2 linked regions of the Rattus norvegicus genome follow. The protein of the gene in region 1 purifies or fractionates together with the protein of each later gene. This does not show direct contact. Links are inferred from orthologs where the notes say so. Each region holds a gene or a part of one and is shown in the gene's direction. Other genes may lie near its edges.

Region 1 (5,419 bases):
AGGCATGGTAGTTTCTATAAATAATAAGGAAATATATCTTCCTTTTGATGACCTTTTCCTATATGTGGCATATCTTACTTCCATGATACATTTTAAACTTTATTACATTTATTTTCTGTAGATATATGTGACTGGGCATAAGTTTTGGTGTGTTTAGAGGTCAGAGGACAACTTGTGGTAATTAGTTCTCTCCTTTCCCCAAGTGGGATCCAGGGATCAAACTTGAGTCATCAGGCTTTACACTATGAGTGGTAAATATATAGGGAATATTTCTAAATATAAGTACCTTTCATGCAAAGAATGACTCTAAAGTCACTTATCAGTGCTTATTTGTTTATCTCTAGTGCCATTAGCCTCTTAGTTCTATCTAAAATTATGGCATGAAGTTTTAGAATGGAATTAGGTGAATTCTTTCTACTTGCAGGTCCAATGCTTGTATAGATCCAAAAAAATTGCTTTGAATTATACTACTGTGGACCAAATATTCAATTCTACTTAAATTTTGCAGTAATCTCAAAGAATAGAATTTTAGATTTAGATTATGTAGAACAATTACTTGTTTGGTAAAATAATTTATTTCTTAAATTGTATTGGTTACTTTACATGAAAAATATCTTAATCAAATGTTAATTTTCATGGATAAGGTTGATGAATATGAGTTTCCCCTAATAAAAACTTTATCTTTCCTAGGATAAGAACTAATGAAGAGGGTTAGTGACAAGTATGGGTTCAAGGTCATATGCCTTAGTGCTTCTCTCTCGGCATAATACGAGATTTAGATAGTTAATTTGTGAAGCACTGTTAAATCTCCCATGATTATTAATTGAGGGAAAAAATAAACTCTAGAAATTTGATATTAACCAGAAGTCAAGTATTTGGAACTATGAATTAGTGATTTTTATATATAATGAAAAGGAAAGTTGCTATGCAGATGTAATAGTAAACTTACTGTTTTTATTGTTTTTGTTGTTCTGGTATACAGTTTAAGGGTCATACACCATCACCTTAGCTTATCTTTTTTTAAGCCAAAGAAAAGTCTACCATGTTAAAATAATTTTGTAAGCTGACATACTTATTATGGTTTTTTAGAAAGTGTTTATTTCACTAATTAACACTTTGAGAGGTAATAGTCAATTTCCAGTTTGTACATCTAAATAGTTTATTGCTGTATTGCTTAGCTAACTTTTGTCTTATCTGTTGGGCTTTGTTTCTGAGCTATACTAATCACTGTGCTTATTGTTTGAATGTCTGGTACAGGAAGCGAGCAGCTGCAAAGCATCTAATAGAGCGCTACTACCATCAGTTAACTGAGGGCTGTGGAAATGAGGCCTGCACGAATGAGTTCTGTGCTTCCTGTCCAACTTTTCTTCGTATGGATAACAATGCAGCAGCTATTAAAGCTCTTGAGCTTTATAAAATTAATGCAAAACTCTGTGATCCTCATCCCTCCAAGAAAGGAGCAAGCTCAGCTTACCTTGAGAACTCAAAAGGTGCATCTAACAACTCAGAGATAAAAATGAACAAGAAGGAAGAGTTTAAAGGTAAGAGACTATATTTAAATTCAAAATGGTTAATTGAAAGCTATTTCAGAGATTTAAATTTGTGGTTTTTGGGTTTTTGCGTTTTTATAACCTGAAGATATCATAGTATAGTAAAGCCACTGTTTTTAAGTGTGGTAAAGACAGGTATTTAGTTACTTTATATTTTATTCTTATATTTACTGATACAGAAGTTGTCAGAAGCAGATTATACTCTAAAAATTAATATGATAATGATTGAACTCAATTTGTAATGATTGTATTGTAGCTAATATCTTATTAGGTCATAAAAATCTACTACATGTATTGCATTTGCAGTAAATACCTGGTATCAGGTCCAGAACTACAGGGGCTGTGGTAAAAGAAGGAGAAATACAAATATAAGGTATAAGGTAGTCTTTGTTTTCCTTTTTTAGAAAGCAGGGTAAAATTTTGCAATAGTTATCTGAATAATATATTTTTTTCCTTCTAACATTTTCTTTTTACATACTGCTCTCTACCTCAGGAACTTGGTGTACTCATACTGCTTAGGGATCTAACCTACCAATATTTACTCAGCTTTTGTGGGGCTTTGTTTCTTTTTGTTTTGCTCAAGATAGGTGACACTGTTCTTATATTTTTAATTCTCTTGCTTCTACTTTCCTAGTAATGAAATTAAAGGTTTACATTCCCATACTTTGTTTATATGGTACTGAGGGAGATCTCATGAATGAAAGATAAGCACTACCAACTGAGCTAGGTCCCCAATGCATCTAGTCTTTTAAAAATAGTCCTATGTTTCGAAAGTTCTTAAAACTTCTATTTTCCCTCATTGATTCTTCAGTCTATTTTTTTCTTAATAGAAGTAATTATCAACTAGCAATAAGGTAATTGAATGTTTCACATTGCTACGGATTAGCCCCTGTCACTTGAAACATGTTTAAAGGAATTAGTGAAATGAAATTATATTAGAATTTCATGTTAGTTTCACAATTGAACTAAAGAAAAATCAGAAAAATAATTTATTCAGTTTGGCTACACCAGTCCTATTTCATGAATTTGTTCACATTGTAGATAAGTAGGTGAATGGTATCAATATTTTGAATGTAGAAGCTGCAATGTCTCAATTATACATGTTTCTACGACAGAGTGAACATCACAGAGTAACAGTAAATGAAATATAATATTTCACCATGGTTGAATGTGACTAACTGGAAAAATATAGTATATAATTGGTATATTTATCTAGTTATAGCCCATGTATGCTTCTTTTTTACACATCTTGTTTTTGTGGATCACTCCAAATTTTATTGCCTTTACTTATTTACTTTAATATTTTTGAATTAGGAATTACACAGGCTTAATCATACTTAATTTCTCATTATGATAATTATATATTTGTTGAATTTTAATTAAATATGTAGGTATCAATTAGTGTATCACAAATCTGTTCTTGCATGAAACTGTTTATGGTATAAAATGTTATGTTTTAAGAGTGTTTTGGACCTGAGTTTAGTGGCATTGTAGTCCAGATTCTCAGGAAGGACCGTGTTGATTTCCAATATGTCTGTTTATACTATGTGAAGCCATGTCTCAAACAGTTTTCAAAAACACACATATTAAAATGTACAGGTGAATCTTAAAAAATGTTTCTTTACTTACCTGTTTGTTGATAACCAGATTATAACGTTTTTTATTTCTATTGCATTGCTTTACACACACACACACACACACACACACACACACACACACACAGAGAGAGGGGGTGGGGCTGAGGGAGGGAGGGAGGGAAAGAGAGAAAGACAGATAGAGACAGAGATAGACAGAGACAGACAGACAGACAGATGATAGAGATAAACATTTTAAACATTTTAAGTCGAGTACTACCTGGAAAAAGTATTGATTAATAGTAGTTTGTATTCCTAGATGTCAGTGTCATTTGATGAATGTGCTCTGAAAGAAGACATTGCAAGTCAATGGTGTGTGGATCCAGAGTGTTATTCTCCTTCAGGCAGGATGTATATTTATTGTTCTATATGTAGAACATGCACTTTCCAACCAATTTTATAATTTAGTGATAGGGAGATAAAACATTATCTTCTAACAGGCTGTTTATTCATTATAGATAGATTCTGTGTTTTGGTTATAGTTAAGAGAAATGGTCAAAGAAGATACCATAATTTTTTTCCATTAGAATAATGAGAAATCAGCTCCATGTTAGTGTTTTCTTACATTTCTTAGTAGACTAAAGAATTGAACTTGGATTGCCATGCTGCCTCAGCTAGGTACATGTAACTGAGTTTCATGCCTGGGACTCACAGTATAGAAGGAGAAAATGAACTCATTCAGTTATCCATTCAACTCCATAGCTTCATCACCCCTAATAAGTAAATAGAGCATTTTTTGAAACAAAGAATTGAAGATCATAAAATAAGTAAGTGTCAATACTCTAGAACAGTCCATAGATCAGTTTTGTAGTATATACAGTTCAGTGCTTTGTGGTTTATGTTTTGGAAGCCATTCTATTAATGAGGACTTGAATTTTATATTGTCTCTTACTGTTGAATAGGTACCTTTAATAAATGTACCAATCATAGTAAAGATATTTATGTGTTAGACATATTATCAATGTATGGGATATATTGTCAATGTAAATAAAAAAATTAAACTACCTTCAATGTTTAATTTAATAATTCTAGTGTGCTACTCTTTGATGAAAGAGATTAAGTTTGGCTTCAGCATTATTATTTGATAAATATATTAATTTGTAAGACTTTAGTATATAAAATGTCATCTTTTCCCAATTAGATAAAATATCTTTTGTTTTGTTAACGAAATGGTAAAGCCTTTGTTGAAAGTAATTTCCCTAAGCTAGGAGATTTATGGTCCAAATCTGTTCCTGGGAGAAAAATAGATATGAATTTTGGTGCTTGTGGTCTTTACTCTCTTAGCTTCTTCCTTTTATTTGTTTTTGAATGACTGTAATAATTTCTAGTTGCTCTGTTAAGAGTTATTAGAACCCAAATAATGGTCATAGGTAGTAGTAGCTGTAGTAGCAGTTTTAACTTCAGTAGAGTTTACTTGAGTAGTAATATCTTTTTCTCAGCTTCAGAATGAAAACTCTGGAAGAAATGAAGAATACATAACATGAGTCAGTTTGATTTTACGATATACAAAAGTATAGAAAGAGTTGATTGCAAATGAAGGGGTTGAGGAAACCTTGTAAAACCTTGCCTCCTTAGTTTTTTGAGAACAATGTAAAGGAAAATGATTTTAGGTTATTAGCATAGTAGCTTTTCGGTAAGGTTGTAATAAAGTACAGTGATGAAATGATAAATATATATATTTGTTCATATCTACAATAAATGTTACATACCAGTACATGTCTCGGTTACAAGGCAAGTCTTAAATTACCAATGCATAATTAATAATTATATGTTGAATGAGTGCCAAAGAAAGGGTGAGGTTGTTGGGATTACTTAAATAAAAAAGGAGCTGGTGATTTTAGGGTGTTAATAAGTAAATTACATTTTTTTAAAAATTCTAAATCAAATTCAGAATGTTTAGATATTTTATTTGTTCAGTAAAAATTATAACAAAATAAACATGTATATTATAATAATAAATGTTCTTTTTCTTTCCATTTTCTAGAGGTGGACTACCTAACTGAAGAGAAAGTATATGAAATTTATGAATTTTGTAGGGAGAGAGAGGATTACTCCCCTTTAATTCGTGTAATTGGAAGAATATTTTCTAGTGCTGAGGCACTGGTTCAGAGCTTTCGGAAAGTCAAACAGCACACTAAGGAGGAATTGAAATCTCTTCAAGAGAAGGATGAAGACAAGGATGAAGATGAAAAGGAAAAAGCTGCGTGTTCTGCTGCTGCTATGGAAGAAGACTCA
Region 2 (4,697 bases), about 86 Mb from region 1:
CCCTTTCTGCGCATATGCTTTTGTGTCCTCCAATAGGATATGAGTTTGTGGAAGAATGCCGAGTGCATTTCCGGTTTCCTACAGTGCTCAACACTGTACAAGGGACTTGGCAGCCTCAGCTGTCATCAAGGAATGAGTGTTCTTGTCAAAGTTCCTTCAAAGTTGGTTTGGACCTTTGAGCTTCTCTGAGCATTGAAACCTTGTTTGCAGTAGATACTACCTTATGAAAGCTTGAGTACTTGAACACAGGATTAATAAGATGATCTATATTTTCAGAGTTTTGTTTGTTTTTAAATAAGACAGCCTCTCACTATGTAATCCTGACCCTAGCCAGGAATTTGCTGTGAACCCGACTGGTCTCAAACTCACAGAGATCTGCCTATCTCTGTCTTGTGAGAGCTGAGGTTAAAGGTGTGTGCAACCAAACCCCCACAGAACAACTGCAACTTCTGGCTATACACATATATTTATTTATATAAATTGTGTTTATTTTCTCACCCAACTGCAGTTCCCCTTCCCAGCCCATCCCCATACTTTCCATCCCCCCCACCCCACCCCCAATCCGCTCTTCCCTTCCTCTTCAGAGAAGGGTCGGCCTTCATGGCTATCAGCAGGCCATGGCATGACAGGCTGCGGTAGCACTGGGTACCTCCTCTTCTCTCAGGCTAGACAAGGTAACCCAGCAGGGGAACGGGTCCCAGAGGAAGGCAGCAGACTCAGACAGCTCCTGCTCCCCTCACATTGTTAGGAGTCCCACAGGAAGACCAAGCTACACAACTGAAACGTGCAAGGGCCTAGGTCAGTCCCTTGCAGGCTTCCTGATTGGTGGTTCAGTCTCTGAGCCCCTATGGGCTCAGGTCGGGTAATTTGTGGGTCTTCATCATATTTCCTTGCCATTTCCCCAAGCTCTGCTTAATGTTTGACTCTTGAGTCTGTACAACATCAGTTGCTGGGTGGAGCCTCTCTGATGGACAGTTGGGCTACATGCCAATCTGTGAGTACAACAGAATATCGTTAGGAATCATTACACTGAGTGTGTGTGTGCGCGCACCATTCATGTTTGGTTCTGTCTCCTAGCTCTCTGGACTATCCAGCCCCTGGCTCTCTGGGCAGTGGTGGGGGGGGGTAGACTCCCTCTCATGATATGGGTCTCAAGCTGGACCAGTCATTGGTTGGCTGCTCCCATAATTTCTTTGCTACCTTTACCCCTGCACATCTTGTAGGCAGAACAAATTGTGGATCTAAGGTTTTGTGGCTGGGTTGGTGTCCCAGTCCCTCCACTGGAAGTCCTGCCTGGTTACAGGAGATGGCCAGTTCAGGCTCCATATCCCCCCATTGCTAGGAGTCCCTAGGGTCACCTCATTGATCCCATTGTTCTAGGTTTCTAGCTTATCCCAGGGATGCCCACCCCCCATTCCAGTTTTCTCTCCGAGTACTTTCCCCCTTCATCCTCCCCACACCTGATCCCTCCTGTTCCCATCCCCCCTCTGCACCCCCATCCACCACACCACAAGAACACTGCTCAGCTATGTTCACAACAGCTAGAAACCGGAAACTTTTTATTTTACATACATGGATGTTTTGTCTGCATATGTGGCATGTATGTATGTGTGAGGGTGTCATATCCTCTGGAACTAGAGTTACAGGCAGTTGTGAGCTGCCATGTGGGCTCTAGGATTGAACCTGGATCCTTTGGAAGAGCAGCCAGTGCTCTTAACTACTGAGCCCTATCTCCAGCCCTGACTACTCCCCACCCCCCCAAAAAAAAAATCTTAAAAAACCAATTCTCTGATGACCACTTTTGCTTAGAAAAATAGTTTTGTTTTTTCAGATGACGTTCACACGGCCTGCCAACCACAGACAACTCACTTTTGAGGAAATTGCCAAAAGTGCCAAGATCACTGTCAACAAGGTATGGTTCTTGGACTTAGGGGTTCGCAGCAGCAATGCTACCACCCCCAACAGAGACCTGGTCTCAGCGAGCACCGTGCTCCCAGCTTGTCTCATGTGCCCCTTGCACAGGTGGAGCTGTTGGTGATGAAGGCACTCTCGGTGGGGCTGGTGAGAGGCAGCATAGACGAGGTGGACAAGCGGGTTCACATGACGTGGGTGCAGCCTCGAGTGCTGGATTTGCAGCAGGTAAGGGGGCTGAGCCCCTGCCCTTTGTGGACTTGGGTACACCAGTGCTGTCCTAGTTTTATGTGGACGGAAGCCACTTAGGAAGCGGACACTGTCCCACACAAGGTGCTGCAGATGGGATTACTGCTGTGGGGGCCTAGGGGAGCAGCCCTGAGGCCTGAGCCCTGCACTTACAGGCTTACTGTGACAACAGTGCTGCTGTGCTGCTGCTGCCTCCTAATCCTCAAATTGGTGCTTGCACAGACATGTTCCTGGTTTTGTGATTTGATCCCACGCCCTATCATATTTTCCGGACATTTAATCCTGTGATTTCCTCCATTCTTTTTCTTTCATGTGAGTTTTTAGAATGTCCTCGTGATCAGAATTGGCACGGTGATTCCATCACACCCCCACCTTCAGCTCTGTCGCCCTTAGCATTTCCCCAAAAGGCATTAGAGGTTTAGCACTCCCACACAGACTCCCGTGCAGCCTGACACCCATGTGATCCTGACTTGCCTTTAGATCAAGGGGATGAAGGACCGTCTGGAGCTCTGGTGCACTGATGTGAAGAGCATGGAGCTGCTGGTAGAACACCAGGCTCAAGACATCCTCACCTAACGCCCCAGGGTCCTGCAGACCCGCCTCACCCTGCCTCACCCTGCAAGGTGACCCCCGAAACCATCAGCAGAGATCTGTATTCATTTGGGATGGAGTTTGGGATCCTGCTAGGAGTGGGAACTGTTCTTGCTATAAATGCAGAGATCTGTCACTGATGGGGGTGTGACTACTTGGAGAAGGCTCCTGTGTGGGGTCTTTTGTAGCCCGCAAGCCGTGGGAGGGGGGCTCCAGGCCTAGGTGATGAGGAAGGGCATGAATGGGAATGGGGACAGAGTAGTCTCCACCCAAATCCACCTGAGTGGACCTTTCCAGTGTGGTCTGAGAGTGCTTCTATAATAAATGCCTTTGCATTGTTCTGTTGGTGCTTCTGTTCCTGAACTTAGCTTCTTAGCCAATCCTGTGCCTAAAGAAAAAATGAGCATGTAAGCTGGGACTCAGGTTGGTGGGGGCTCGCCTTCTCCCCCGTCACTATATGACAGGACCGCCACCAAAGTAGTGAGCCCTGTATTGTCAGACAAGGAGGCGGCGTTGGTTCCTCCTTGCAGTCCTTATCAGTGCTCTCTCAGACTCGGGCATCCACACTCGCTGCCGAGCATCACTAAGGCACTGGGTGTTATGAGTGCCACCCTCAAGAATCAACACGAGCAGGAGGTACTGGAAGCGTTTAATTGGCCTCTCAGGGATGCGCCGAGCTCCTCATGCTGCGGAGCTTCTCTTATAGCTCTCCAAGTGGGATAAGACCCATCCTGCTGGAACCATGAAGCCAGCGATTATGACTGACATCCCCACAGCCTGATCCTGTGGAAAGAAAACCAAACATGAGTCCACTGGCCATTAGAAGGCTTGGGCTTGGCCATAGGCCATCCTTAGAATCCTGCTGTGTGGGGCTTCTGTCTCGGTCAGAAGCAACCAGAGGTCACTGCCCTTGCTCTTCTTCTCTGCATGTTGACCAGCCATAGTCCCCATTTCCCTTCTGCTTCTCTAGGCAGTCTGTGAGCAAGCAGGCTCTGCGTGTCAGAGAGCTTGGCAGCTCGGAGTCCTTGGCAGGGAGAGTGACCTCAGAAATCAGGAGCAACGACCTTGGGCTTCAGAAACCAGGATCCTGCCTAGCTGAAGCAGCTCCCAGTGAGGCAGAGGTTCACTCAGCTCCTGTCCAGTCTTATGTCCCAGGGGGCTATGCAGAATAGCAGAGCAGCTAAGGTTTCCATTGTTACAAACGAACACTGGGCTTTTCTCAAAAGCAGCCCCATTCAGAAGCCACAGTGAGTGAGGTCGGACACCTGCCTTGAGTGTCCCATGTGCAGTGATGACCCCCGTCAGGAGCCCTGTGTTCTCAGTAGCTTTAGGTAGAGACACATTCTGAGCTATCAACTGTGTGACACCCTGAGTTCTCTCAAAACAAGGCCTGTGTCCAGGCCTTCTTGAAGCTGAGTCAGTACTTCATTTGAAAACCAGTCCTTCCTATTAACCTTAATCCCGAGTTTAAGCAAATTCAGCCTAGACTAGGAATCTTAGTCTGGGCTGAGCCGTAGCTCTATGCATGAGTCTTTTGTACATGTGAGACAGACCTACTTTATATGTCAAATTTCATCAGATTTGCTGCCATTTTAGTTTTCCCCTCAGAGCAGCCCTCCTTGCCCCATAACAAAGGAATAAACACAAACCGATATGAGTCCTGTATCCTAACTCTGCCCCCTAATTCTGTCATTGTCGACCTTGGCCCAGAGGTATGTGAGGTCTGAGGACGTCCCTACCCCACCATTTGTAGCCCTTTGAGAGCCTGGCCCACGGGCAGTGGTGCCAGGGTGCTCTTCTGGCACTCAGACACCATCTTGCATAAAATACTGATAACCTAGCACCACACCCACCCCTCTCCTTTATCACTTTAATCTTCCCTGTTGCCCTGAAGCCCAAGGAATCCTACCTTAGGAGTTACTTACCATGGCAGAAGTGGGAGATTT

Evidence for each region. The genes of interacting proteins can lie anywhere in the genome.
Region 2: the proteins of Ube3a (region 1) and Psmd13 purify together in Homo sapiens (affinity purification with mass spectrometry; 4 studies listed by BioGRID and IntAct, with this or other methods). This does not show direct contact. The link is inferred for Rattus norvegicus from reciprocal best matches to the Homo sapiens genes UBE3A and PSMD13.

The regions. Positions count from the first base shown.
Region 1 is NC_086019.1:119,257,540-119,262,958, forward strand, and holds part of Ube3a (ubiquitin-protein ligase E3A), read left to right. Parts: intron 1-1,257; coding exon 1,258-1,541; intron 1,542-4,447; exon of another isoform or gene 4,448-4,639; intron 4,640-5,168; coding exon 5,169-5,419. UniProt on the Homo sapiens protein: E3 ubiquitin-protein ligase which accepts ubiquitin from an E2 ubiquitin-conjugating enzyme in the form of a thioester and transfers it to its substrates.
Region 2 is NC_086019.1:205,403,430-205,408,126, forward strand, and holds the end of Psmd13 (26S proteasome non-ATPase regulatory subunit 13), read left to right. Parts: intron 1-1,831; coding exon 1,832-1,912; intron 1,913-2,022; coding exon 2,023-2,139; intron 2,140-2,640; coding exon 2,641-2,736; 3' UTR 2,737-3,096; downstream 3,097-4,697. Other genes in the region: Cox8b (cytochrome c oxidase subunit 8B, mitochondrial precursor), read right to left, coding at 3,433-3,534, 4,677-4,697.